Linked DNA regions of Mus musculus: regions 1, 3 and 4 are each reported to be linked to region 2. Evidence: microRNA targets listed by miRTarBase, many of them from high-throughput screens and not tested one by one. Region 2 holds a microRNA gene; each other region holds the end of a gene's coding sequence.
Evidence for each region. The annotated mature microRNA mmu-miR-181a-5p reads AACAUUCAACGCUGUCGGUGAGU and lies in region 2 at 2,704-2,726, opposite strand. An mRNA with a match to its seed (bases 2 to 7 or 8) in the 3' UTR can be bound and repressed. Matches are read on the target gene's strand: a 7mer-m8 pairs with bases 2 to 8, a 7mer-A1 pairs with bases 2 to 7 and ends in A, and an 8mer does both.

Region 1 (7,123 bases), not on the chromosome of region 2:
TTCCCTTATGTGGCCACTTCTTCCTCCTGAGACCGACTACCAAGGATGAGCTATCAAAGCATTGAAGTCCAGCAATCAAAAGCCTCCTTTGGCTCACCTAATTAACATGCCCAATTAAAATTAAATGCCTCATCCTAACATGGGGTTTCCCCTTGTACCTTTATAAAGCACCATTTTCCTATATGCCACATCTGTCTCCTATCCAGAGGCAGTCCTTTGGTGCCCCACTCCCATCCCTGCACCATGATAAAAATCCTTTTCCCACCTCCCCCACCCCCATCCCTTGTCACCCCTTTACCCTTATCCTCTACCTCCTGTCTTTTGTCTTTTGTCCCCTGCCCTTTGTCCCTCTTTGTGCTGAGAACTTGATCTGGGTGCGTCCTCAGTGACAGCAGTCCCTACAGGAACCAAAATTATGAGCTAGATATACATGATGGTTACTGTGCACAGATGTTCCTGGGACCAAAGGCTCCCATTGGAAATAAATGTGATGGTTAACTTTGATTTGTCAACTAGACAAAATGTTGAGTCATCTGAAAAGGGGTCACAATGAGGGACTGCCTGTAGGCATATCCATATTGGTTGTCTTGACTATGTTAACTGAAGTTGGAAGATCTGTCCACTCTGGGTGGTGCTATTCCCTGGGTAGAGTATACTGGATTGTATAGTGCTAGCATCTGGATGCTATCACATCTGCAATCAAGAGCAGAGAGCTCTTGGTTGCAGATGTGATTTGTCTGTTCTGTTGCTTCAAGTTCCTGCTGTCTTGACTTTCAACAGTGATAGACTGTAACCTGGAAATGTGAGCTCAATACACCTTGTCTCCCTTACACTAATTTGTCAGGGTGTTTTATCATGGTGCAGAAAAACACATTAGGACAGTGAATGAGGGGTGGGAGGATTTAACTGGGGCAAGCTCCTGGGTCATGGAAAGTCCCTTCACATTCTTTCCCTTCCTTACCTCTCCCTCTGAAAAAAACTAGGGCAAGGAGAGATTTGTGTATCATAGCTTGGGAGCCTTGAACCTTGAAGATAATGACTTTATTCTCAATCCCTTTTTGAGCCATCAAAACTACAAATCGCCGGGCGTGGTGGCGCACACCTTTGATCCCAGCACTCAGGAGGCAGAGGCAGGTGGATTTCTGAGTTCAAGGCCAGCCTGGTCTACAAAGTGAGTTCCAGGACAGCCAGGGCTATACAGAGAAACCCTGTCTCGAAAAAAAAAAAAAAAACCAAAACCAAAACAAAAAACTGCAAATCAATTTACTCACTCCTTATCATGTATCCACAAGTTCTTCAGGGGTTTTCTAGAAATCCTCTTTGCCACACTGCTTCTTACTATACCATCATTCTTTGACCATCTCGGCCTCTAGGTGGGTAGTTTTCCACACTAGATTTTATCATGTTTAACTTTCTATAACACTGGGCAAATTCCATTATCTCCTTGGGTCTGTAGCACATGGAAAAATAATCCGATCCCAACCCCAAGAGGTTAAAAGGCAAACGCCCCACTGGTCACATATGTAAAATTATTGCCTATCTACTCTCTAAAGCTAGGTCCCAAGCCTGATCAGCCATCAAGATGGCTCAGTGGGTAAGCACTGCCACTAAGCACTAGCCTAGTTCATGGTTACAATTCTACACTATGTCTTTATGTGGGATTACTGGAAAAACTGAGTGAAGGGCATACAACATGTCCTATAGTCTATCTTTTGATAAGATAGCATCTTGCTACAGACATCCCAGCTTCTCTAGATTATTTCTTATGAATGTGAGGCTACAGTTACCTCTACAAAAGTTATTATTTGGGAAAGGTGATTTAACATTTCTATGAATTTCAAAGCTATCCTATGCTGCTACGTATCTTCTCTCCTTCCTGTGAAGTAGATGTCAGATTACGTTAAATGTAGCAACCAATACCAGAAGGTGGCACTGTTATCACACGAACAGTAAGTTACTCCTTTTAATGTCCGTACAGTGGACCACTGGGATTTCACCAATTAACATTATAAACACTAACCAGGTCAGCAATATTTTTCAGTTCAAGTCATTTAAACATTTTTATGTCTATCATTTTTGTGTGTCTGTGTACATGTACATGGGCATGGACACACACACATGAACACTTGTGGAAGACAGGACTTCAGTAGTAGCTGAGAGCTTATATCTGATCCAAAGGCAACAGGGAGGGGTGGGCATGGTGTGGGCTTCACCCCCAGTGACAGAACTCCTCCAACAAGGCCACACCTCCTAATCTTTCCAGTTCACCAGCAGACTAAGCATACAAATACGGGAGCCTAAGGAGGCATTCTCATTCAAGTTAGAGTTACAGGTGGGTGTTGGGAACTGAACTCAGGTCCTCTGCATAATCTTAACTGCTGAGTTCTCCAGTCCCCCCACCCCCCAAGCAATAGCATATAAGAAGTCATTATATTAGTCATTTCTTACCTGTTACCTTTTCAATATTCTATCACCCTCACTCTTCTGTTGAAACCCTGGCTGTCCTGGAACTCACTCTGTAGACCAGACTGGCCTCATCTCAGAAATCCACCTGCCTCTGCCTCCTGAGCGCTGGGATTAAAGGCATGTGCCACCACGCTGAAACCCTTCTTATATTCTCTTTTACTTTCATGACTTTTTGTGTGACCCGCTGAGTTTAACTATACAAAGGCTGCTTCCATGTGTATTGGTGGGATGACATTTACTGGATCATAGTCAATTTTTCAGTCGGTATACCACTGAAGAAACACACACGCACGCACGCACACACGCATGCACGCACACACGCACACAGCTACTCTCCCATCCATAAGGAACTGCTGACAGGCCCAATTGTGCATTGCATTTCAGAGGTATGGTCAGGAAGATGGGGAAATAAAGCAGGATTTGACAATGAACTAGACACAAGGAACAAAAGGAGACATCTAAAATCACTGCTGGTGTCTTTGGAAATTCTAAAACTTCAGGTGACTAAATTGAATATAATTCAATCGAATTATAAACGTATGCCAATATATTTTCTATTAGTGGCCCGGTCCTCGGCTCAGCGGATAAGTGTTTACTCTGGGCAGGCAGCAGGCACTGGGCTGGGCTCTAGACACACAGGTCACAACAGCCCATTACCATTAGGAAGACTTCAGAAGGCAGGCTCTGGAGCACTTGTTTGGGGGCTGACTGCACATCTCAGCCCCGCCCACTCCTCCCCACAGGTGTAGGCAGCATGGGATCTCCGTCAGCCTGACCGGTAAGCTGGGGCTCCATGCAGCTCGATGACTCCAACATGCTTCACAGGCAACTCCCACATCTAATTTTCAGAATATGTTTTTGTTTAAGTAAAAAGAGCAAGCTTTCTGAACACACATTTTCTTTGTACAATTTCATAGGAAGCTGTCTTAAGAATTCACGGATCTGCTGGGCCTGCTGGTATACACTTTTACAATTCTAGCACCCGGGAAGCAGAGGCAGGAGGATCTCTGTGAGTTCAATGCCAACACAGTTTCCATACTGAGTCTCAGCCAAGACTACAAAGTGATACCATGTCTCAAAAACAACAACAAAAAAAAAAAAAATAGCAACATCAAACCCCAAGAATTCAAGGATCTGAAACTTTTTAAAATTATTTTTATTTTTTGGCTTTTCAAGACAGAGTTTCTCTGTTTTAACCCTGGCTGTCCTGGAAATGAAATCTGTTTACTGAAAGGTAAGTAAATGAACTAACCAAAAATGTTTTTTACCAGTTCTACTGATTTGTTCACATGAACACTGAACCAAATAAAAGGGGACGTGAGTGAAAATGAACTCTGGGCAGTTTATTCTCAAGTCATTACAGTGTTCCACCGACTGGACATACAGAGACAGCAGGGTAACAGTAAACATTAGGAGGCACATTCCTGTTCTGAAAGGAGATACATTATACACACAGGGAAAATACAGCAGATAACACGGTATTAACTAACGTAACTGCTGACACTTCGGATAGGATATATTTACAAGAAAATATGCTTTAAAATACTTAAATAATTTCCACAAGCTTACAAAAGAATTGAGATAAATATTAGGAGATCCTGATAATCACAAGGACATATTCCTATGCATTTGAATAAATGTAAGTCTAGAAAAAGTCCCAAAATAGAGCTAATATTTTGCCACCATGAAATATATCAAATTACCGATACCAAAATATGATAAAATGAACGCGCACTGTGGAGGCTGCACCAAAGCAAACAGCGCCAGGCTCATCAATACTGCCAGAGTCTGTACAAGGGTCCCTACGCTTGTGCATTAACAAGGAACTTGTAAGAGAGCCTGGGTGATGAATACGGCAGCAGAGGGGTGATAACTGCCTAGCCACCTTGTTGTCCTATGGTTTTCTGATGCAGGTGCACAAGAGAAAACTACATAGAACTCTAACATATTAGCTTATGAATACAAAAGGTGAGTGGTACGTTCTTGTGCTGGGCAACTAAAGAGCACATTTTAACTCTAGACCACTGTAGCAAATCTTCCGTCCTCTAACAAGTAGTCTTAGAACATAAAAAGGCAGAACACTAACACCATGACTCCACAACACAAGTCTGAGACTGGAAATACCACAGAGCAGCAGCCTGGGAGAAAGGAAACACCTAAGATGTCACCACAAAACAGTACTCGCTCAAACCAGTCTATCACTCAACACCGGAAACCGGGTTCTTCAGAGAGGCGCTTCTGTTTATAATATCCCCACTGTTCAATGCATACTCAGATCTGGTTTTCAAGACATAAATATTGCACAGGTAGTTGACCACCAACATTCTGGTGTCTCTGATATAAAAATGCTATCTCATTTAACCTATCAAACTACGCTACTGAAATTAGTTTTCCCGGACATTTAAAGCCAATCATGTAGGACTTTGGGGTACAATCCTAAGTGAGATGAGAAGACACAGGCACTTGAGTATAGGTTACTACTGATGACAAGGGAGGGGCCACAACAAGGTCGTGACTAAGGGCCGTTTTGACTTAGCATGTGAACTGAGGTCTTCCACCGATTCAAATTCAGAAGTAAGATCTATTTACAAAACTTTGATTTAAAAAAAGAAATCAGTTCTTCCCAAAATTTATGACCAAATAATTTTTACTGAAATAAAACACTGAGCTTTTTAAAACAAGTGTCTCAGGCTGCAAGTTGGTGACATAACCCTATAATTTGGGAGGCAACTGAGGCAGAAGGATCACAAGTTCAAGGGCAGCCTGGTTTACAGAGAGAATTCAAGGACAGCCATAGCTACATAGAAAAATCCAATCTCCAAAATAAAAATAAAGATAAAAAAAGTCCCCTCCCCAGAGAAATAACAATTTTAGCTATAGCTGACCTCCAGTCTCCCCACTTCTGCTTGCCCTGTTCCACTGCCACCTACACCAATCATCTAGTCAAATCTATGCAAAAATTTCCACTCACCTGGACAGCCAGAATATCATAAATGGTTAGAATTCTAAACAGTCCACATTGCAGTATAAATTCTGCAGCACCACAGACCTCATGAGATTAGAAATTTTCATCTGGGAATGGCCCACTTGATAATTTTAGCTGATAAGAATGTGTAAATATTGAATATTTCAAAGGGAGTCATATTAGCAGGTTTAAATGACCAAGATAATAAGAAATTTTAATGTTTTAAATTGTTATTTAAAATTTCAAAGTCACTTAAGAAAAAAAAAAACACACACACATTTTCACCACCCAAACATATAAAGCTTCAAACAGTCACTATGGACACAGCTTTTCTCCTTCCTTTCTTAAAGAATTATGTTGACTAGGCCACTCCCTAAATCCTTGGTTTGCCAACTTAGAGTCCACCCACAAGGCAGTATGACATATGCACTGAGATCATTCACCCTCTATCATCTTTGGCGAGAAGCCTCACGGAAGGACACTGAGGGTGAGTGGCGCAGGCAGCCCACGAGAGCCTCCTCACACATCGCTGACTGGCAGGCTGGCGTCATCTAAGTCCACTGGCTCGCCATCTTCTCCCTGAGGGCCGTTTTTACTCTGAGGTCTGAGCAAAGCCTGTTCAGTCACTTTGGAAGCTGGCTCTCTTGGAGAGACAGTCTGGACCTTGAAGTTCCCTGGCTTGACCTTGGCAAGAGATTGGTAAACTCCTCGCTTCTCCATGGCACAGCCTGAGACCAGAGAGTGGCTGCGAGAGGCTGGGGAATGTGAGGCGGTGGCTGCGGCCCCGGCAGGACGGACAGTGAATTTGGGTTCTGAAGGCCAGCCGGAATGCTCCTGGAAAGAGGAATGGTGGTTAGACACAGCCAATCACCAACGACAAAGTTAGTCACTCAATGTGAGACTTGATTCTCTGAAAAACAAGCAACACACACACACACATACACACAAAGCAGAAGCATGAGCCATGCAGCGTAAATGTGCAAGTTCCTTCCCAAAGCAATGCATTTTAGGGGTGAGTTCAAAGCAATGAAAGCCAACAACCAATTCCACGAAGAAACTAATTCTGTCACCAAAGCTGACTTTGGTAGCTTATGGCACTAGTCAGCCTAAAACGAGATACGGTGTTCCAACTGCAACTGAATTGTGTTGAAAGAAGAGTCTACCAGCATTTAAGAGTTATGGGAATTATCCCAAGAATTAAAAAAGATAAAATGTAAAACATAAAAAAGCAAGGCCATAGATTAATCAACAAAATCAACAATTAATCAACAAAAATCAAGACTTTTCAGACATGATTTTGTCTCATAGCCTGACAACTTGCTTTCTGCTTCTCTTAATTTCACGGCAACTGACTGCAGCTGGTTCAATTTGGCTTATTTTGGGTAAGTCACATATTCGAGTGGCTTAAGATGTTAAAAAGGGTACAAATGAATCACTTTTAAAACCGCTGTAAATGCTGACGTGATTGTACTTCTAAGGACAAATCTGAAGACAGCACAGCGTGCTGCGCAGCTCCTGGTGTGTGCTCATTTAGGACACTAGCGGCTTTGAAAACAGTACCACAGTCAGCAAACACTACCATCACATGGTAAAACTTCACCAGAGCTATAAAACACCATGCAATTCTGGTGACAGCTTATCCAGCATGGATGCACGCAGAAGTTTGCCTGGATCAGAAGAACAAAGGCTCAT
Region 2 (7,123 bases):
TGGCTGTCCTGGAACTCACTTTGTAGACCAGGCTGGCCTCAAACTCAGAAATCCACCTTCCTCTGCCTCCCGAGTACTGGGATTAAAGGCGTGTGCCACCACACCCGGCTAGGAATATGCATTTTTAACAAGCAGCACTAGATGTGTCAGACAGCCAACCTCACACTTTCCCTGCTTTCTTGTAACTGAATTCTTTTCTTTTGTTATTTTGATTCTTGTCTCTGTACAACTGTATTCTCTCCTTTCCTGTCCATGCAAAGATAGTTTGAAACACTAAACTGACAAGACACTTCTGTTGTCTTTCTCTTAGACTTCAGTTGTATAATAATTAATTTACAACTAAGGCTCATGTTTTTATTTCATTAGCAGGAAATATTTTGTGGCTTATCTTACAGTATAGGATTTGGAGAATTGATACTCTCCTTTAGTTTTTGTTACCATAAAATGTTTCCTGTCTCACTTGGCTGTTTTTCTTGTTATAAGAACGTATCTTGGGAAAGTAAGAATAGATGGTTTTGGCCAGGAGAGGTTTTTTTTTTTTTTTTAATGTGTCTAAACAATAAAAACCAAAGTATTCATACGAAGACATACAGTCATTCAAAAGAATGAGAAAGGATCGATGGCAATGGGGAGATGACTTCTTCAGTGAGTGTTCACCATGGAAACATACAGACTTGAGAAAGTGGAGACAGATGCCTCCTGGAACTTGGTTGCCTGCTGGCATGCCTCAGGTTTGACAATGAAGTGGAGAGTGATTAAGGAAGACACCTAACACCTACCCTGGCTTACACATGCACCAAAATATGTACATGTACACTAACATAAAGTACAGGTGCTGCAGTTATTAGTAGACTGCTTGCCTATCACATACAAAACCTTGGTTTCAATACCAGGCTTGGTGATACACACTTGTGATCCTAGTTAGGAGAACATAGGATCAGAAATTCAAGGCCACTTTCAGCTACCTAGCATAGGATATGTAAGACTATGTCTCAAAAACAATTAACAAATAGCCAAAATAATAGTAAATGTGGTTTGTTAAGCTTAAAGTATATAGCTGAGTGTAAAGGTAAATTGAAGAGCAGTGAGTTCCTTTTGTTGCCATTGAACTTCCCCTGAATTACAGTTTTGCCTCTGTTTTTATACATGTAGATAAGTCTTCAAAGGTATAAAATTTTTCTTTATGTTGTGTGAGTAATACTATTAAATGGATGTTTTTATGTAGTTTTCATAGAAGGAATGTATTTGAGATGAGGATAGATTTAAATTCTTTTCATATACTTTTATTTTAAAATAATTATGTATATTTAAGTATTATTTTTAAATATTATGATGTCAAGGCATATTAATCCTTTTGCCTGTGATAATATAAATTTCCCAAAACTTGGAATATTTGAGAAGAAAATAAAAAATACTAGGAATTATAGAGCTTCTTCCATATTAGAAGCAAAGAAACTAAAGAGACTTTAGATAAAAGATTGAGGTCCCACCTGGAGCAGTACTTCCGTACTCTGGTGACTCTCTGGGAGTACTTTTGTTTCTTTGCGTTTTTTGGCCCGCAGTTTGCATTCATTGATCAGTGAGTTGGTTGACATTCAAACCCACCGACAGCAATGAATGTTGAGTGCAGCCATCAATGTTTCCTTTTGATGAAATTGTCTTGGTCTTTTCTATCTCCTGGCTCTTCTTCCCACTATGGTTCTTTGAAGTCTGTTGTATGTTAGTAACTAGTCATCTGTATGGTTGTGGACTCATAATTATAGATCACCTTGACTGTATAGCAAGAACTTGTTCAAGACAGAAAAGTTGTGAGGAAGAAGGCACTATGTGAGAACCTTGTAAGTAGCTCTGATCACATGGGCTGAGACTTGGATGTTGATGTCTGTAAAGGAGCCCTCAGAGACATTGCTTCATCTTTTGTTTCAAGCTGAGACGTTAAGTGCCCTTTTCAAGGTAAAGCAGTATAGATTATGATTGCAGTTAAGTAAAAATTTTTGTAGTAAACATTTGCTGTGAGCCAGAAACTGTTCAAAGTACCCTCATATATCTTCTCATTAAATTAAAACTCTGAGGTTCTCTCCTCTCCTATTCTACATTTGAGAAAACATACTTGGATACGGAGGCTCAGAGATGACCCAGAATTCCTTAAATTAGCACATGGAGATGGAAATGTATCTGGTTCTCTCATGGAGATGTCAAATCCCTAACCGCAGTAACTGAAACTGGAGGCACAATATGATTTGTATAGACAGTGAGTAACTCTGTGAGTATTTTTGCTGAGTAAATCTCTTGACCCTAAAGCAAAAATTTGAAAGGACGTAGAAGAAATGAGAATAAAAGACTTAACTAGATTTTTTTCCTACAGTAAATAGACATTTTTAATACACCCTATTTCTGACTAGAATGACACATTTCTAGAAGATATTTGAGTGCATTTGGTACTATGATGGCACTTCCCATAAATTGTTAAAATGAAACACTTATTTATCAAGAAATTACAAAAAATAGACAATATAAATACATGGAAGCTTAAAAAAAAAACTTGCTGGTTCCCTTTAGAAAAGAGGCCACAGGACTGTATCTTGTGATGTCTGTCACATGATATATCTGTACAGCCTACTCCTTTGCTTCAGGAAACTTGTTGTCTGTAAGAATCCCAAGGTACAGTCAACGGTCGGTGGTTTTTTTGTTTTTGAATCCCAAACTCACCGACAGCGTTGAATGTTCCATGGAGTCCTCTTAAGGCTGGCTTGGTTGCCCATCTTTGGCCTGCTCTCATATTCTAAGGACCACTGCTGTTGGGTCTCTCACATTCTTCCCAAAATTTCAAGTTAACAGTACTTACACTGTGAAGTTAGTTTGCATAAAGCAGAAATGAGCTGCAGGATTGTGAGACTGCAGTTTACATTGCTGACTAAAAGTGGATATCTGTGGAAATATTTTTCAATGCTATCATTCTGAAAACATCAATATAGCAATTTTGTAGTAATACTTTAATTATTAATGTACAAAAACAAGAAAGACCATAACACATGCTGGGGACTTATGTGTAGTAGGATTTGTATATTTAATTCCAACCGTGTTTTCCTTAAGAAACAGAGACTTACCCGGAGTTCCATAGCCAGAACTTGAACACCAGAGTTCATTGTTCCAGTATTGGTTGGATATGTTGCTTTCTCCTTCCTTTACCAGTCTCAGATTTGAACCTTTACTGCAGAGCTAAATCAAACAAGCAAATTCCTTCTTGTTTGCCTGTAATAGTAGAAAATACATCTAAAGTCATATATTTCAGAGAAAAAGATGAAAAACAAAACTCAGTAGCTGAGAATCATGGGCTGCTAAATTACCACAGAAGTGCTAGTGATGCTCCATGATTTTTTTTCCCCATATAGGAAAAGTAAAAATTCTATGTGTACTAGAGCACAGAGAGTGTATCTGGAGAGATGACTCAGCAGATAAGAACTTGTACTTTTCTAGGCGGGACTTTGATCCCAGCACCTGTCTTAACCACAATCTGTAACTACCAATTCTTGCTGCAGGGATCTGTCAACTCAAGCCTTCACAGGCACTTGAACAAACACACACACACATACATACATACATACATACATACATACATACATACATACATACATTCATTCATACATACATACATACATACATACATACATACATACTTAAAAAATAAAAATCTTTAGAAGAACACAGAGCAACTAAAATGCCAGATGTATCTGATCTTTGTTTTGGGTGGTTATTTTTTATTACTTATTGACTTTCTTTTCCCCCCTCCCTCCCTCTTTTCCTCCTCATTTTTTTCTCCTCTCCTCCCTTCCCATCCCTCCCTCTCTTCCCCTCCCCCTTCCTTCCCCTCCCCTTATCTGGAACTCTCTTTATGTAGAGCAGGCTGCTTCAGACTCAGAGATCTGCCTGCCTTCCTCTGAGTGCTAAGATTAAAGGTTGTATCATCATGCCTGGCTATTTATTGAATATTTTTTATGAAAAGTCTTGAAAACTAATTAAACATTTTTCAGAATATTGGCTTTATTTTAAGCAACATAGAAGCTTTGTAGAGCTGCTGGCTGAATTGAGGTTAATATCTATCTAATCTAGGATACTTTGTGTTTAAATATTTTCTTAAATGTATTTATTAAATTTATTATTTTTATGTGTATGGGTGTTTGCTTAAGTATATGGCTGATAATCTCAAAGGCCAGAGGAATGTGTCAGATTCCCTGGAACTAGAGTTAGATGGTTATAAGCCCACATATGGGTGCTGGGAATCAAACTTGAGTCTTCTGGAAAAGCAGCCAGTACTCTTTTTTTTTTTTAAAGATTTATTTATTTATTATATATGAGTACACCTTAGCTGTCTTTAGACACACCAGAAGAGGGCATCAGATCTCATTACAGATGGTTGTGAGCCACTATGTGGTTGCTGGGATTTGAACTCAGGACCTCTGGAAGAGCAGTTAGTGCTCTTAACTGCTGAGCCATCTCTCCAGCCCCCAGTACTCTTTAACCAATGAGCCATCATTTCTCCAGCCGCTTTGGGTTTAAATACTGATGGTTGACCTAGCTGAAGATTCTTTTTTGTGTTTGTTTGTTTGTTTTCGAGACAGGGTTTCTCTGTATAGCCCTGGCTGTCCTGTAACTTACTCTGTAGACCAGGCTGGCCTCGAACTCAGAACTCAGAGATTCACCTGCCTCTGCCTCCCAAGTGCTGGGATTAAAGGTGTGTGCCACAATGCCCAGTGATGAAGATTCATTTTTAAAGTAGCCAAATGGCACTTCTTGAGAGGGAAAAAAAAAAAAAAATCAGCGAGAATTTGGTTCAAATGGAATTGTTTACATTCTGCATCACTTTATTTCATTCTCCATCAAAATTCTTCTCTTTTTTTTTTAATATTTATTTATTTATTATATGTAAGTACACTGTAGCTGTTCTCAGACACTCCAGAAGAGGGAGTCAGATCTCGTTATGGATGGTTGTGAGCCACCATGTGGTTGCTGGGATTTGAACTCCTGACCTTCGGAAGAGCAGTCGGGTGCTCTTACCCACTGAGCCATCTCACCAGCCCCAAAATTCTTCTCTTGTAATCTTTGCTGAGTTCGGTTGTTGTGAAATGGAAGCCCAAAGAAATGAAAATATAGGGGCTAGAGAGATGGCTCAGTGGTTAAGAGCACTGACTGCTCTTCCAAAGGTCCTGAGTTCAATTCCCAGCAACCACATGGTGGCTCACAACCACCTGTAATGAGATCTGATGCCCTCTTTTGTGTGTCTGAAGACAGCTACAGTGTACTCATATAAGTAAAATAAATTTTTAAAAAGGAAAGGAAGGAAGGAAAGAAGGAAGGTAGGTAGGAAGGAAGGTATCTTCCTGTGTAGTAGTTTAAAACCTCTGGCTTAGGTTTATTTTAAATGGTCTTTGCCTTTGTCTCCTAAGAGATGTCAAGCTTTATATTACTTAGAACAGATAATCAGAAACAGTGATATCTGCTGCACCAAATTAAAATATAAAACCTGTTCTTCAGTGTACAGCATTCCAAGAATCCTGTTCTTGATATGGAGATACTTCCTGTTGTATTTGAGATACTTTTCATCCCCCCCTCCCCCCCCCCAGATAGGGTTTCTCTGGGTAGTCTTGGATGTCCTGAAACTCAACCTATAGACCTGATTGACCTGGACTTTAGAGATTTACCTGCCTCTGCCTTTGGAGTGATTGAATTAAAGAAAGGATATGCCACCACAACTGGCTACTTTTTATCTTTTCAAGATCTTTATTATCCTTATTCCTTCAATTTCCCTTAAGCCTTTAATTTTAGTTTCATCATTCACAAAGTATACATTGGTTATTTTCCCTTTATTGTTATTGTTAATTTTTTTTTAAAGTGTGTGAGCTTGCGTGCACACACTACACATGAACAGGTACCTGTGGAGTCCAAAAGAAGAAAAAAAATGGTATTGCATACCTAGGAGCTATAGTTACAAGTGGTTGTGAGCCTCCTGCCTGTTGCTGGGAACCAAACTCCCAACCTCTGGGAGGTACATGTAGCAAGCACATTTAGGGAGCCAGTCACCTCTGCAGCCTCACAGTGGGACTTTTAAATGAATTTACCTATGGTACTTATGCAGTGATGGACTCTAAAGGATTTAAAAAGCTAAGGGTCATCTTGTTTGACAGTTATATAACTGAACTTTTCCTAACTTGGTTTCAATGTTTAATTCTTAGTTTAACCTGGTTTTGAATTTGTCTGAAATTACTAAGCCATTGTAATTTCACTTACCTCTTTTTCTTTCCAGAGATACCTAGAATACTGAAACTCATGTTTCTCACAGAGATGTAAATGTTTCTAGAGTCTTTCTGGGCCTCTGGAAATTGTGACAAACAAGAAGTATAAACTCTTCTGTTTGCATAGTAGTAGAGAGTTCTTGTCACAGTTGGGAGTCTATATAATTACTACCAAAGTACTATACAGGGAGCATTGCTAGAAACGTTTGTGGTTATTTACCTGAGGCTAAATTTTTATTTTGAAAATGATAGAAATGGCCAAGTGGTGGTGGCGGCACACATCTTTAATCCCAGCACTCAGGAGGCAGAGGCAGAGGCATCTCTGAGTTTGAGGCCAGCATGTTCTGCAGAGTGAGTTCCAGGACAGCTAGCGCTACCCAGAGAAACCCTATCTGGAAAAAAACAAACAAACAAATAAAGGAATAACAACAACAGAAGTTAGGAGTATGTCAGCATGGACATTCTTTAGCTAAAGTGCTACTGTTTCACCTTTTTACTGACTGAAGCTGTAGAGAACCCTAGGGAATGCTTAGTCCCTGATATCATGAGCATGGTGTCATCTAGATGAGATATTCAGCAGATGACAAAGAGAATGACTGAGATGCTGCTGGGAAGAATAGAATCACAGTGTTAACTTTGCCTTGAATGCTTGGAATGCTTTATCTAAACAGATCACTTAAATGCTTAGTTGGATTTTCACTGGGTTTTAAACACGTAGTTGGACCTTCACTAGACAGAGATAGAGCTGAAGGGTGTTGACAGAACAGTCTAGAAAAGGAGTGTGCAAACACTGATGAATAGTGATAGTAACCTCTCAGACAGTTATCTTCTGT
Region 3 (7,123 bases), not on the chromosome of region 2:
GTTTAAATTTCAGGAAGTATAGCCCAGCTGGAAGGAGGTTATACCTGAGTTCCTCTTCTAGCTTACCCTGCTCCCTTCTCCCTTGTGATGAGCTTCTGCTACAAGCTTTCACCTACATGAACTGTCATGCCTTCCCCATCATGACGAACTGAAACCCTTGAAACCAAAACCTGCCCTCCCCTCTGTCAAGTGCTTTGATCCCTACCATGACATGTAAGTAACAAATTCATTTGGTGTGAGAATAATGGGAATAGATGAGAGTTATTATATTTTGTCTTGAGCAAAAAGTACTCTAGGGCTGGCATGGTGGCTCAGTGCTGACAAACCTGACAGCCTGAGTCCTATCCTCTGCATGGTGGAAGGACACCCAACTCCCATAAGTTGTTCTCTGATTTCCACAAGCTCTCCATTGCACAAGTGTGTGTCCACATCCACAATAATAAAAAATACAATAAAAAAAAAAGGTTTAAAACCCTAGTCAGAAACCATCTGTTGTTTTTATTCATGACCACTGAAGGCTTGAAAAGTCATATTTATTCAGATTTATGTACTTCTATGAAGCTCTTACTATCTGTTCCTGACCTATTAAGGTATGAATCCTATTAATTAGGATTAATTAATTAATTGTAGATTAAAAACTTAGGGCAGGTGAGATGGCTCAGTGAGTAAAGGATCTTGCCACCAAACCCAGTTGCCCTGAATTTGATCTCAGGGACCCACATGGTGGAAGGAGAAAACCAACTCCTGTGAACTGTCCTTGCACCTCCACATGTAAGCATTGTCATGTATGTACACACACACACACACACACACACACACACACAGAGAGAGAGAGAGAGAGAGAGAGAGAGAGAGTATTTTGCAACAATTTGTCTTTTATTTTTGAGATTATAATCATATTTTTTTCCCTTTCCTTCCTCCAAATAAATAAATAATTTTATTTTTTTAGAAGTCCTAGTTTCATTTCCTGTTGCTGTAACACAATCCTTGGGTCTAGGTTTATAGTTTATAAAAGCAAAATTTAGTTTCAGTTCTGGAGGCTGGGAAGTCCAAGATAAAGTGAGGGCCCTGTGCAGCCTCTTAACATGGTGCCAAGTTGGAAGAGGAAGGGAAATGAACCTGTGTGCAATAGGAAAAAACCCAAAGGATTGCCTCAGATTGTAATTTCTCAAGATGACCAATCTAGCCCTGCAGGAACTAACCCTGACACATGAGAAAGGAATTTATGGGGGAGCCCGACCCCATGATTCAAGTGTTTCCCATTAGAGCCCATCTCCCACACTGCTGGATTGAAGAATTGCTCTCTAGCACAAGAACTGTCTGGAGAACACACTGATAGTGTGCTGGCTAAGTTTTTGTCAACCTGACACAACCTAGAGTCATTTGAGAAGAGGGTACCTCAACTGAGAAAATGCATCCCCACCAGATTACTTGTAGGCAAATCTATAGGGCATTTTCTTGATTGATGGTTGTTGGGGGTCGGTGTTGGTGGGGGGAAGGGCTAACTCATTGTGGATAGTACTACCTCTGGGCAGATGGTGCTAGATGGTATTGAAAAAGCAGGCTGAGGGCTGGTGAGATGGCTCACAGTTAAGAGCCCCGACTGCTCTTCCAAAGGTCCTGAGTTCAAATCCCAGCAATCACATGGTGGCTCACAACCATCCGTAACGAAATCTGATGCTCTCTTCTGGAGTGTCTGAAGACAGCTACAGTGTACTTACATATAATAAATAAATATTAAAAAAACAAAAAACAAAAACGGGCTGAATAAGCCATGGGGAGCAAGCTTGTATGGCACTCCTTCCTCTTGCATAGGTTCCTGCCTCCAGGTTCTCACCTGCTTGAGTTCCTGCCCTGACTTCCTTCAGTGATGGACTAGGATATGGGAGCATAAAAAAACCAAACCCTCCCTCCTTACAGTCATGCTGTTTTTATCTCTATGGCAGAAATTAGTATCAGGAGTAGGGTGTTACTCTGTCAGACCTGACAATGTGTGGACTACAGTGGCACTTGTACTTGGGGCTGGAAAAACCATTGAGTGATGAGGGATTAGAGGAATGTTGTCTGGAAGCTTGGGAGACAATGTTCAGAGCAATGCACATGATGGGAGGCCTGGCTTGTGGGAGTTTCAAAGGGAAGTTTGAGAGTCCTTTAAAGGATTCTACTAGGGCCCTTTGTGAGATATTTTATGAATCTGTGGTCTCTGGTTAATTCTTAACCAGAATTAGCTGTGATTAGCAAGATCCAGTATCACTGGAGTGAAAAGTCTGCTTTGCTGGGCTAATGGAGCTGGAGAATCAGCTGTGAATAAGAAAAGGGAGCAGAATTACAGAGGCAGACTCTTCTGGGAAGAGTTTCCTTGGGAACATCACACACAGCAAGGAGGCATTCTGGATAGGATGGAGAAACAAAGCTCTTCTAAAATGCACTGGATGTATTTACAGATGAATGTCTGCAGTTCTATGGCTTAAACTGAGCCTTCCTCTTCCTGGACATTACTGGGTCATTGCTTTAAGACTCTTCACTCCTGTGGTGTACCTACTGGCTAGATGGGCTTCCTTTTCTAACCATTAAAAATTATTGCTCATCAGTGACTTACTTTGAAACTTTACATCTCTCACGTCTTTGTTCCTGGTAAATACTACCTATAGTAATCACATGATTATGTGTAATATTCAGATGGTTTTATTAACAAGTATATAATACATATATTGCATACTGTATATAGTATATGAGGACTGTACAGTACAAATTTATGTTCACAGTTTGACATGACAAAATGTCATTACTGAATTCCCATTGGACTACAGGGTAGAAACAGAAGGTACATTAAACATTCACATCTTTAGTAAGAAAGATTACCAAAATGTTTCAGTATTTGCAAGTATACTAATGCATGCTAAAAACCTTTACCCATTCAGTCTTATTAGCTTATAAAATATATTACACTTTATTAAAAATTTCTGCATAGTTTATACAAGTATTAAAGAACTGTAAATGCAATAAGCCTGCTATGCTTGCAGGTAGGTTTTAAGAGATGCCAAGCAGAAAGATTATTCTGACCCTCTAACACTAGGTACATAACAGGAAAAAAAAGTGCTAGTATTTGTAAAACACATTGTAGCCCTCTTTTAATGCATGTAAAATGGCTTTGTAAATGTATTACTTAAGTGAATTTGCAATCGTTTAGAAACTGTTAACCTTGACCAAGAAGAGAATAAAGAGAACTCAAGTGACTTCATGTACGTTAGCAACTCCTTCAAGACAATTCTAATTTCAAACCAAATTATAAAACCTTTGATCTCTGAGATTGTCTTTTTTAACAATCTAAGGAATGGTGCGCAGATTACAATATCAGCAATAGTCTCTCAAATTCCACATTAGTGCAATACTGATAGTGCAGGTGGGTGTTTAATAAAACATACATATACATATATCACTCCCCTGTAATTCTGTTCCAAGGCTCTTGCAACATCTGCATATTTAGTATCTTCTTAGTTGAACAAAGCTATGCTACACACAGTCTCCAAACCAAGTGACTTTCGAGTGCAAAATGCCCATTTAATGATGTACCCTTCCCACTGTGAAACTCAAAAACACAAGATGTTGGTTATTTTTGGAACTTCCCCCAGATGAGACTTGAGCAGTAACTGAATGAACTCTGTAATGATTTACACAGTGCTGGCTTCATGTTTACAGCCTGTCCTCATCAATTTACTGCAAATGAACCACCACTGACAAGAACATAGCATGTCATCCAAAATCAAACATCCAGGGCATCTTAACTTGTATCATGCACAAAAACAGCTAAAATAAAAACAAAAACAAAAACCCAAACAAACAAAAGACAAAAAACCCAACCAAACAACCAAACAAAAGAATACTAAGAGACTAAATTTCTCAACTATCATAGTAAAATACAAATACATACATACATACATACATACATACATATATATATATATATATATATATAGGAAATTTGGTAAGGGCCAATTAACTAAAATTATATCAGACTAGCATGGGACTAGAGAATGGCTTCTCTGGGTTACTTTTCTTTCAGAGTTAAAATGGATCTTTCTGTTAACATGATCTAAGCAAGCTAAAGAGTAATATAATAAAGACTTTTGAACAAAATTTAAATACGCCATGGTGCTATTAACTATTCTTGGTTTGAAGCAAAGCTAAGGGTCCTTCCTTGCACCCTACCCCGCTGCTCACTGGGTCGGAGCATACAAATTGGAACAAACACTAAACAAACGGGACTCTTCAGTGCCCTGCAGAAGAACCACTTCAAGACACGATGGTGGTGGCATGAACGCTAAGGAACACTGACAAGGGAGACCCTGCTTTCCCAAGAGACACTCACTCCTCAATTCATGTCATCGTTGCAAACAAAAAGAAAGGCAAGAGCCTAATTAGCATGCTTTAATAGCCCAAACAGACTTTTTTTTTCAGTGCTAAAAAGGGAAAGAAAAGGAACCCAAGAGCTAAGATAACATTTCTTTGCAGTTTTTACCCACATTCCCCCCTCAGTTGGTTCACAGGGCTGAGCAGGGCCTCCCGAGTGCAGCCCCCACAACTATGAACATAGTGCCATCAAATCAAGTTCCCTGCAAGTGCAGGGCTCCAAGACCTCTCACTCCCCGACATCCAAGAACAATCCGGTAGGGTGTTCCTCCCAGTTCAGGTAGTGTTGGATCCTGAGTTGTGGCTGGGATAACTCTTCAGGATTCCCCTCCCCCCCTTCTCCTCCATCCTTTGTGAGGGGATGAAGGGACTACTGGTCAGAGGCAGCCATATCTGACCATTGTGCCCATTTTATTTCTCAGATTTGGAACCAGTGACATTTCTGCAATCTATGAACTGTTTTCATTGGCATTTAGACTGTGGTGTTCAAAAGCCTGCTTTTGAAAAACAAAACGAAACAAAAAAAACCTTCCCCCCAAATAATGGTGCTATTTATCTGCAACATCAACACGAGTCATTGCTTCTGGTTTGTCCTAACAGGGTACCTGACAGGAAATTGCTAGCTCTGGCAGAAACTTGTGGGAATCTTCAAGCTACATATATAAATCCCTGAATTGTGGTTTTCTCTATTTTTCAAAAAAAAAAAAAAGTCACCAAAATAAAGATCTATGTGCTTCACACTAGGTATATTTACAAATAGTGTCACTCAGGTCTTAATTGAGTGACTCTGCTCAAGCTTAGTGGATGCTCTTTTATACTATGTGTCATAGACACAAATGATTGCTGGTTTGGCACCATACAGCTCACACAGAAAAGCTCCATATGAAAGCTATGTGGCTCATTGGATATGGGAGTATTAGTACCACTCAATGTTTTCCTGTTTGCAAAAACACTCTTAGTAGGTTGGGGGGTGGGGGGAGAAGAGACCATTTTATACTGCCTCAAAAGTTTTTGTTTTTTGTTTTTTTTTTACATGACTGAACAAATATTTCTGTGGATTCCTTACTCTCAAGGCTTCATGATCGACAATGAAGGATCCTGCAGGAACGGAGGTGGTGGTGGCACAGATGGATAACCCTCTCGGTATCCAGCTTTGCAGCAAAGGTGTGCTCGGCCAAGTTGTGCCTGGGGATGGACATTTAACAAATGCACTGCACAGCTAATGTGAATTTCCCAGATGTTGATGGTCCAGCCGGTCCTAGCCAGGAATCGCTGACTCCCTCCTCCATTTCCAATATCTTCTCCTTCTTCCTCACACTATGGGAGCACATGGCCCACCTAAGGCAACAGCTCCTGCTCAGCTCCCAGGGATGTCAAAGCCCTCCACATGAGCTTCAGGTGCCACAGAGGACAAAGGAGCTGATTTAGCTGAGCAGGTGAGCCAGGTCAACAGGCGAATCGTGGGGAGGGCGAAGGCGAGACGGTGGGTCCAGCTTGACATCTTGTAGGTCTCGCTAGCTGGTAACAGGGACAGAATTCTTTCTGTCGTCAAACACAAAATGTGGCAGAAAGTCGAAGGTCTCTGGCAAGGACTAATAGGCTGGATACTGCATTTCTAATACATTTACTTTGACATTCTTTTGAGGAATACATGGAGAAACCGACAAATTGGTCGTTAGTTTACATGTTCCCTTGTTCTCGTTACATTAAATGTATCTGTAAGGAGGGTTTGCTTAGCATCCCCGGAAAAAATAATGTTCACATTCTTTAGGTCTGACCCGTGGTAAGGAGGGGAGGGTTAGAGTATCAACTACTGACCATATGGAAGTCTTGAATGATATAAATTCAGAGATCCAGACCAGCTGAATCGAAATTAAAATGTACATATAAAAATGAGTTAGATAACGGGCAGAAGGAGAAGAGAAAGAGATAGGAGAGAGAGAGAGAGAAAGAGAGAGAGGCCAGGAAGAGCGGGGAATCACACTGAGCTGGAGACAGGTTTTCAGACTAGCATGTGGCGTTTCCTGTGTAGGGCAAGGTGGTCAGAGCGAGAGAAGCTTCGGTCACAGTCTGGACACTGGAAAGGTTTGATCCCAGTGTGTTTTCGGAAATGTCTCGTCAGTTCATCAGACCGAGCGAACTTCCACGTGCAGCCTTCCCAGGTGCATTTGTACGGCTTTTCTCCTGCAAAAAGGCAAGGCAGAGTTTAATTGTTGTCTTTGTTGGGAATAAAAAGAGAAGCTACGATACTTGAACTGATGCCCTCGGAAAATACAGACTTCGGGATAACATCATACACAACTCTCAATGAACATGGTGCTGCATGAAACAAACATATTGTCCATGGAAAATCAACAAAGAACTATTAAAAGCAGCAAGAGCCATTCTGAGGGACAAGCATGGAGCTTGTGGATTCTGCATGTGTAGGTGTGTAAGCCTTAAGCCTTCCTGTGCACTGAAAGCTTGTGGGCCTCTCTTACACTTTGCCATCGGTTAAAGAATTCAATAACCCACTTTCTTATTTCATCCCTGTGAGTGATGCCATGGCGGACAGTGCTTCAAGGCTCTATGTTCTAAAAACAGAAGTTCCCTCTCGGAAACCAGGCCTCCACACACCCCTTCCTGAAGGCTAACCATCCATCATTCACATGTGAGGAACAGGAGGCCCGTGTGGGAACGTGCTAGTGAGAGCCAGTGTGAAGAAGACCCTCAC
Region 4 (7,123 bases), not on the chromosome of region 2:
CTTGTCTGTGCTAGTGACATCCATAATTCCCAGAAGAGACAGGCACACACTGGCCCCGCTGGAAGCCAGGTTCTCCAGTATGGCAGAGGTCTCAGTGTGCTTGCTGCTTCCTGATGTGGGCCAGGGCCAGTCTCCTGCCCCAGCCCCTGCTTAATGCCTGACAGGGATAGGACTCCATCCTCTGTCCATCGCTGCAAGGCCACTAGAGCCCACCCTAGCTCTCCTTAGAGGGAGGTTAACCTTTCCAGGCTCCCCTCCTTTTCCTGTTTCATAAATGAACCTTCTTTGTGGCAGGTGAGGTGATAAAGCATGGGGACCTGAAGTGTATCCGCAACGAGGGGATGCCCATCTACAAAGCCCCCCTGGAGAAGGGGGTGATGATCATACAGTTTTTAGTAAGTGCATCTCGACTCTCATGAGACCTACCGTCCACTACCTTGGCAGAAAGCAAAGAAAGCCCACGCCCTCTGTGCTCTCCTCTGCAGGTAGTCTTCCCTGAAAAACAGTGGCTCTCTCAGGAGAAGCTTCCTCAGCTGGAGGCTCTGCTTCCCCCTCGGCAGAAGGTGAGGATCACAGATGACATGGATCAGGTGGAGTTGAAGGAGTTCAATCCCAACGAGCAGAGCTGGCGCCAGCACAGGGAGGCCTATGAGGAAGATGACGAAGAGCCCCGCGCTGGCGTGCAGTGCCAGACGGCATGATGGTGCGGTGTGGCCTGGCCTGGTTGGACTCTAGTACATGATGAATGTAAACTTGGCACAATGAAAATGGCATCGCTTTAATAGCCTCACGTTTGGGGTGTCCCGTGTATGTGTTCAGCAGTCTCCACTGCTGAGTATCTCTTGGGTTTTCTTGTTTCTCTTCTAGTTGTAACTTAAGTTATAGCTTGATTTATATTTAAATGTTTTAAGTTCAATCCCCTCTAGTCTGCATATGGAATCTGTTTCATTTGTACTTTCAGGACTTATTTTGGAGATGCCAGTACCACACTGACCTTTTGTGCTTCTTAGTGGCTTCGCCATGGTTCGTTCCCACAGTAGGCCCAGAGGACCACTCTTGGCCCCTAACAAAGGCCCAGAAGGTGGGTGTCTGGCCCATCTCTAGTCTGTGGTTTTTCTCCCCTTCCTCCCTTGGCAGAGTCACCAAGGGTATGAGCTCAGGTCTGGTAGTAACATTTCTGAATCTAGACTCTAGAACTCTTAAGATAGTAAAAGTCCACATATGGCTTGCAGTAGGCCCAGCATGCCTGGTTCATACAGAGTAGGCTGGACTCAAAAGCTGCAGAGACAGTCTAGGGCATAATGTTCTTTCCCCTTGACTGGTTAGAAAGGGGGTTGTTTGAACATCTCTTTTGGAAGTTTTCTGAACTTCCCAAGCCTTGTGATGACAAGCCCATTTTAAATAAGCCAATAAAGCCATTTGCCTGTAACCCCATACCTTGTTCTTTGTGCTCTTAATGATCATCTATTGACGACCTTTGCAGTGTTGTCCCACCAAAGTGCTTTCTTTCCCTAAGGAAAGCTAAGCCCTTCATATGTATCCCTGGCAGCCCTGACCAGCTGCAGAAACAACCAAAGGGGAGTGCTGGTGGCTTAGTTCCCAGCACACCAGCTTAACGTCTTAAGGGTGTGCAATGGCACAGACCCCTCAGTATTATCTCCTTCCTAAAGGCCCGTCATTCTCACTGTACAGCCATACTGCAAAGGGCTTTCTGCTTGTGATGTGTGGTGAGAACTGGCCCAACCAGGTTCTAGTTGGCTGGCAATGACAGCTGCTTGGGAATGTGTTCTAGTTACTACTTTATTCCTGGCAAGTAGACTGCACTTTAAATAAAGGCTACCTCAGCCTCTAGCCGTAACCTCTCCCTTCTTTTCTACAAATGAAGTTAAAAACCCTGCTTTATAAGCTGCTGGGATAACCTGTCAGATCCATCCTTACTTGGTTTTTATGGTACCAGACTTTGACACAGACCAGGAACCTCTCCTGGGGGCGGTCAAAGGGCAGATGAGACCTGTGGCTGGTCAAGTAAGCCAGCTAGCAGGACCAGGCTCCTGAAGAACACTGCTGGCTAGTAAAACATACGTTTTCAAAGTACAGTGCTCACTTTGACCACAGGCCATGACAGACTTAAAACTGCTTCCTCCAATTAATAAGTGGACCACAACTCCAGGGTGGTGTTTCTGTGCTGTGACTTACAAATAAATCACTGTTGGAGAGCTACTACTTAGCTTGTGTAGGATAAAACTAGACTCAGCTCTTTGTTATGAATCTACAGAGTGTTGCTTAACTGTCCCACCTGTACACTTTCCACTTTAAAATTAAAATTGAACTGGTATGAGACAAATGGCTTTGCTTTTTCTTTTCTTAGCACTTAACAGGGTAACGTGCTAGACTATCTCACACTGGTTGATAGAATAAGCTTTCTCTTGGGGAACTCTGACTTGGGATGAATGCAGCGATCCAATCGGAGTGAAGGACAGTAGAGAGCTGGAGTAGTGGGGAAGAGCAGAAGGGGATGGGGAACAAGGACTCTGAGACGCTGCCATCTGTAGAGCCTCTGAACTGTGAGGGTGTAGACCTGTCTGAGGAAGAGACACTGAGGCCAGGGAAAAAGGACAGTGTAGCTACAGGGGAGTGAGCAAGGGAGGTGGGAAACCAGCCTGGACTATTCTAAGGAGCTAGGCCTGAGGACAGGCACAATGTGGCCAGGCACAGAGTTTCAGTAAGAAGCAACAAGCACTAGGATGTTAATGTCTGAAACCTTCCCCATTACCATGCAGACCCAGTCCAGAGGTGACTGCAGAGAAGACCTAAGGTGCTGGAACTCAGTCTGAGGCACAGCAGTGTTTAGCCCTGTCCACTAGTCTTGAGCCCACAAGGGCTAAGGCAGGCTGCCAGTAGGTCAGACCTCTCTAAAAAGAACAGGGAGAGAGGGTGTGGTAAAGGGGGCATTGTAAATAGACACATGGAGGGATGCTCAGGCAGGTAGGATGACACCAAGTTCCAGTGCACTCAGCCTGTTTCCTTCAGAACTCCATTCTGAAATAGGCTGGTATCACCTGGGAACAGAGAGCTGCCTTTCTACCCAGTGAGCACCTGGATCTCCGCTCTCAGGCAGGCACTCTCCTTCACTAACCGTCAATTGCTCTCCTAGGAAAAGAACAGCACGTTCACAAATGCAGGTGGTTGCATTAAGAATGCTTTATTTACATTAAAATATGAAGAACATTTCCAATAAAACAGGAAAAATTTATATTGTATCTACAAAAGTTCTACAATATATGCTGTACTTTAAGTATGCCAAAAAATCTGAGGAATGTCATGATCAACCCTGTGTAGTCTGAGGCCCTAGCCCCGAGGATGCTGGTGTTTAAATTGGGCAGTCATAGACATGAATTTCCTGGTCATCTCCAACAGATACAATTTTTGATCCATTTCCATTATATTTTACTCCCCAAACCTGCAAATTAAAGAAATAAAGCCATAAAGCCTTCTAATTCCTGTATTTTTTTGGTAAGGAATGCTTAAGGAGTGAGTACTCTTCCTTCTGAATCTAGACTAGCCCAAGGTCCACAAGGATGGAGCCTAATCTCTAAGTGGACCACTTCCTCTGGCTATGGAATAGTACTTCTCTCTAAGATAACGACAATCAACTACCCTTTCAAAGATTCAGATCCAGGGTCCTGCCATGAAGTGTATTCCTGCCTGGGCCAGCACTATGCTTCCAGGAGGAGCCTGTAGGGAAAACTGCAATACAAACCACTCATGCCTACCCCCAACAAGGTCAATATTTACCCTTTCCCAAAGAGCCAAGAGCTCCTGAGCACCACTCATTTCCTTGGCTGTGCACTGAACTGGATACAGCCAATTTTCTCTCTCACAATGAACGTGGCTGAGTTAACTGTGTAATTACTAGGAATTATCACTGTCAGGCCGTGCCCTTGCCTTGAGATTGGAGGCTAACCTTGGTTTAGGCCATATGAGGGCTTCACTTCCATTCCAAACATCTTTCTCTGAAGCACCATCACAACAAACCCACAAAATAAGCAACACAGCTAGGACTGACTAAGAAAAATGCTTAAAGTCAGTAGTGAACTACCAAGATTCAACCCTTCAGCTTCACTGCAATAATTTAACAAACACAAAGCAGTATAAATAGTAATTACGCTGGTTAAGCATAAGATACACCCAGAAGCGTGTAAGATATGTAAAAGCATTCAAATTAATCATCTGCTGATTTTTTCTTGTCGATGTTGCTCTGAGCACTTTAATTTTTATGCTGCCTAGTTCCTCCAGACCAATGGCTCTCAGCCTTCCTAGTGCTATGTGTGACCCTTTAATACAGTTCCTCATGTTGTGGTATCCCCAACCATAAACTTATTTTAGTTGCTACTTCATAATGGTTACTGTGTTAACATAAGTGTTACTGTTATGGAAATATCTGATATGTGACCTCTGCGAAAGGGTTGTTTGACTTCTAGGTTGAGAACCATGGCTCTGGCTCTCGACCCTTTGCTACCTGTAGTGGCTGGAATCAGCAGTGATGGCAACATGCAGGAGAGGCTGAAACATAGTCTCAGCAGGGCCAGGGGTTCACACCTGCAGTCCCAGACAAAGGCAGGCAGACTACACTAAGTTCAAGACCAGTCTGGGCTCCAGTGCAAGACTGTTTAAAATCCCCTTCCCTTGGTCAAGAAAGGCCCATGAGGCACCAGGTGGGTCAGAGTCCATTTTCTTCAGTATGGAAGGCTGACGCTGGCACCTGACACATGCCAGGTAAGGAACTACCAATGTAGATCCTCCAGCCTCTGCCTCCAAGGCAGACTGCAGCATGTACCACTGCCCTCAGCGAACAAGTGGCATGTTAAGATCTCCCAGGAGACTCTTATAAACAGTAAGGACCAAGAAGAATCCTACAAAGATGTTACCATTTCCTTTGCCTTACAAAGATGGAAACCAGGTTTAGTACTATTATTACAAGTGAACAACCTGTAACATTCTCTGACCTATATATTAAATCATATCCCTGGATAACTCCAGAAGTGTAAACGATGATTACGTTAAGCCGTGGAACCACCCAAAGAAGAAGGCCTTCTACAAGTACCCAGAAAAGGATCCCAGGCATAGGTGTGTGACTTCAAAGGAGGAGTGTGGCTAAGTCCTGTGTTTTGGCACATGTTGGGGGGCTTGCCTCATATCTGTCACTCTTAACTCCAACACAAAGACTATAAAAGAAACGTAAATGGGAGGGGTTTACATGCTTACTATTCCATACCTGATCCTGGTGATCAAAGAAGGTGTGAATACAGGTCCTTGTTCCAACATCCCAAACCTTCACACTTTTGTCAGATGAACTGTTTCAAAAGCAAACGTCAGGATGAGAACTCTGAGTTATCCTACACTCCTCTGCAGACTCACACACTTCTGCTTTTACAGGGTCCCTTGTTGCTACAGAGCTGGGGTACAGGTGTCCCCAGATGACTATCTCCTCACTGGGCAGCCAATATTCTCCTGCCAAGTACTGTCATCAGGAGCCTTAAGCCTATCTACCCATTCCTGGATGAGAGGGAGGTCTGCAGAAATGTCAAAAGTGCTTAGAACCATTGAGCAATGCTCATCAGCTCCAGTCCACGTTTCTCAATCACCTTGGCCTCCAGGGGCCTGAACATCACTAGCATCGATAAACACACAGATCTGCAGATTAGATTCTAAGGGATATGTCAGAGTTATACTAAGTGGAAAAGACTTCTAAGAAAAAATCTAAGATTTCAGTAGTTTACTTAAAAACAACAAAACCCTTTAAAAACTAGAGTAAACAAAGGCAATTTGAATTTTGGGGTGGGGGAGATGACAAGATCTCACTACATAATTCTAGCTGGCTCTAACTCACTATGTAGATTAGTCTGCTCTTTAATTTAGAAGTCTACCTGCCTCTACCTCTCCAAGGCTGGGGTTAAGGGATTATACCATCATGCCTAGCCTGGGAAGCTTGTACTTCATTAATTTAAAGAAGTTTTTAACTCTATTTATGCATATGTTTTGTCTGAGAGTATTCCAGTAGACCAGAACATGGGCTCCCCTGGGAGTAGTTTCACATGGTGGTGAGCCGCCATGTGGGTGCTGGAAATAGAAGAGCCGCCACGTATCTTTAACTGCTGGGCCATCTCTCTAGCCTCAGAATTTTAAAAAAATCTGTATGTAATGTAGTCTTTCAATTTTAAAGCACATTCCCAGAATACTGCTCCCTCTGCCAAGCAGTTTAGAAATTTAAGACTCCTACATACCTGGAGACAAAGTGAGTGTCATCAGGACAGAACGCAACATTCAACACCCAGGACGCATGGCCACTCAGTGTGCCAGCCAAATTGGCATGTTGTCTGAAAGAAGAAATTTTCAAACAATGGAGATGCTACTTTGGGGAACTCTAATTGATGAATTGGTTAGTGAATTAATAATATAACTAAGTAGTTCTAACTAATAATATAACTAATAATATCAGAATGACCATATGTCAAAAATTCCATTTTTAGTGAAGCAGCATCAAACACCAGAGACAAATTTTTAGAGCAGCATTAAGTTAAAAATATCAAGAGCTTGGAGGCCAGAGAGATGGCTCAGGCAACTCCAAGATGAGGACACACAGCAGCAGGGGTGAGCAGGCTAGCCAGACCCTCCTGCAACAGGCCCTTCCCATGGTGGCAGGAAAGCAGCAGGATGTAATATCCTTCACAGAACATGTGGCTCAAAGAGATCATCTGCAATCTAGTCAAGACCAAAGGAGGCAACTGCACCGGTGTGGTGGTGCACGCCCCTAATCTCAGCATTTGGGAGGCAGAAATAGGTAGATCTCTGTGAGTTCGAGGCCAGCCTGGTCTACATATTGAGTTCCAGGTCAGGGAGGGAGGACTTTTTAGTAAGACCCTGTCAAAACCCAAAATAAAACAAAACCCCGAAGGAGCTACAGAAAGTACCCAAGGAGCTGAAGAGATTGGCAGCCCCATAGGAGGAATAACAAAATGAACTAACCAATACCCCCAGAGCTCCCTGGGACTAAACCACCAACCAAAGAAAACACATGGTGGGATTCATGGCTCTAGCTGCATATGTAGCAGAGAACTGCCTA

Region 1: miRTarBase lists Plekha1 as a target of mmu-miR-181a-5p. The part of its 3' UTR that is shown has no 7-base or 8-base seed match.
Region 3: miRTarBase lists Klf3 as a target of mmu-miR-181a-5p. Seed matches in the 3' UTR shown: 7mer-m8 at 2,834-2,840.
Region 4: miRTarBase lists Dnaja4 as a target of mmu-miR-181a-5p. Seed matches in the 3' UTR shown: 8mer at 743-750.

Annotation. Positions count from the first base shown.
Region 1 is chr7:130,909,974-130,917,096 of GRCm38, reverse strand. It overlaps Plekha1 (pleckstrin homology domain containing, family A (phosphoinositide binding specific) member 1), which reads right to left. Exons shown (of 13, transcript NM_001346515.1): 13 at 3,603-6,265. The coding sequence ends at 6,055. Among named protein-coding and RNA genes, the nearest start is that of Mir7061, 5.3 kb to the right of the region's middle.
Region 2 is chr2:38,848,344-38,855,466 of GRCm38, reverse strand. It overlaps Mir181a-2 (microRNA 181a-2), which reads right to left and starts at 2,732; the gene lies at 2,657-2,732. The region is part of intron 3 of Nr6a1 (nuclear receptor subfamily 6, group A, member 1); the gene reads left to right. Nr6a1os (a long non-coding RNA gene) reads right to left here. Exons shown (of 7, transcript XR_866167.2): 3 at 3,108-3,252. It overlaps Mir181b-2 (microRNA 181b-2), which reads right to left and starts at 1,637; the gene lies at 1,549-1,637.
Region 3 is chr5:64,828,448-64,835,570 of GRCm38, reverse strand. It overlaps Klf3 (Kruppel-like factor 3 (basic)), which reads right to left. Exons shown (of 6, transcript NM_008453.6): 6 at 2,670-6,594. The coding sequence ends at 6,413. Among named protein-coding and RNA genes, the nearest start is that of Gm31684, 15 kb to the right of the region's middle.
Region 4 is chr9:54,713,976-54,721,098 of GRCm38, forward strand. Dnaja4 (DnaJ heat shock protein family (Hsp40) member A4) reads left to right here. Exons shown (of 7, transcript NM_021422.4): 6 at 295-395; 7 at 486-2,342. The coding sequence ends at 701. Wdr61 (WD repeat domain 61) reads right to left here. Exons shown (of 11, transcript NM_023191.3): 9 at 6,285-6,377; 10 at 5,276-5,354; 11 at 3,178-3,460. The coding sequence ends at 3,371. Among named protein-coding and RNA genes, the nearest start is that of Mir5710, 9.2 kb to the left of the region's middle.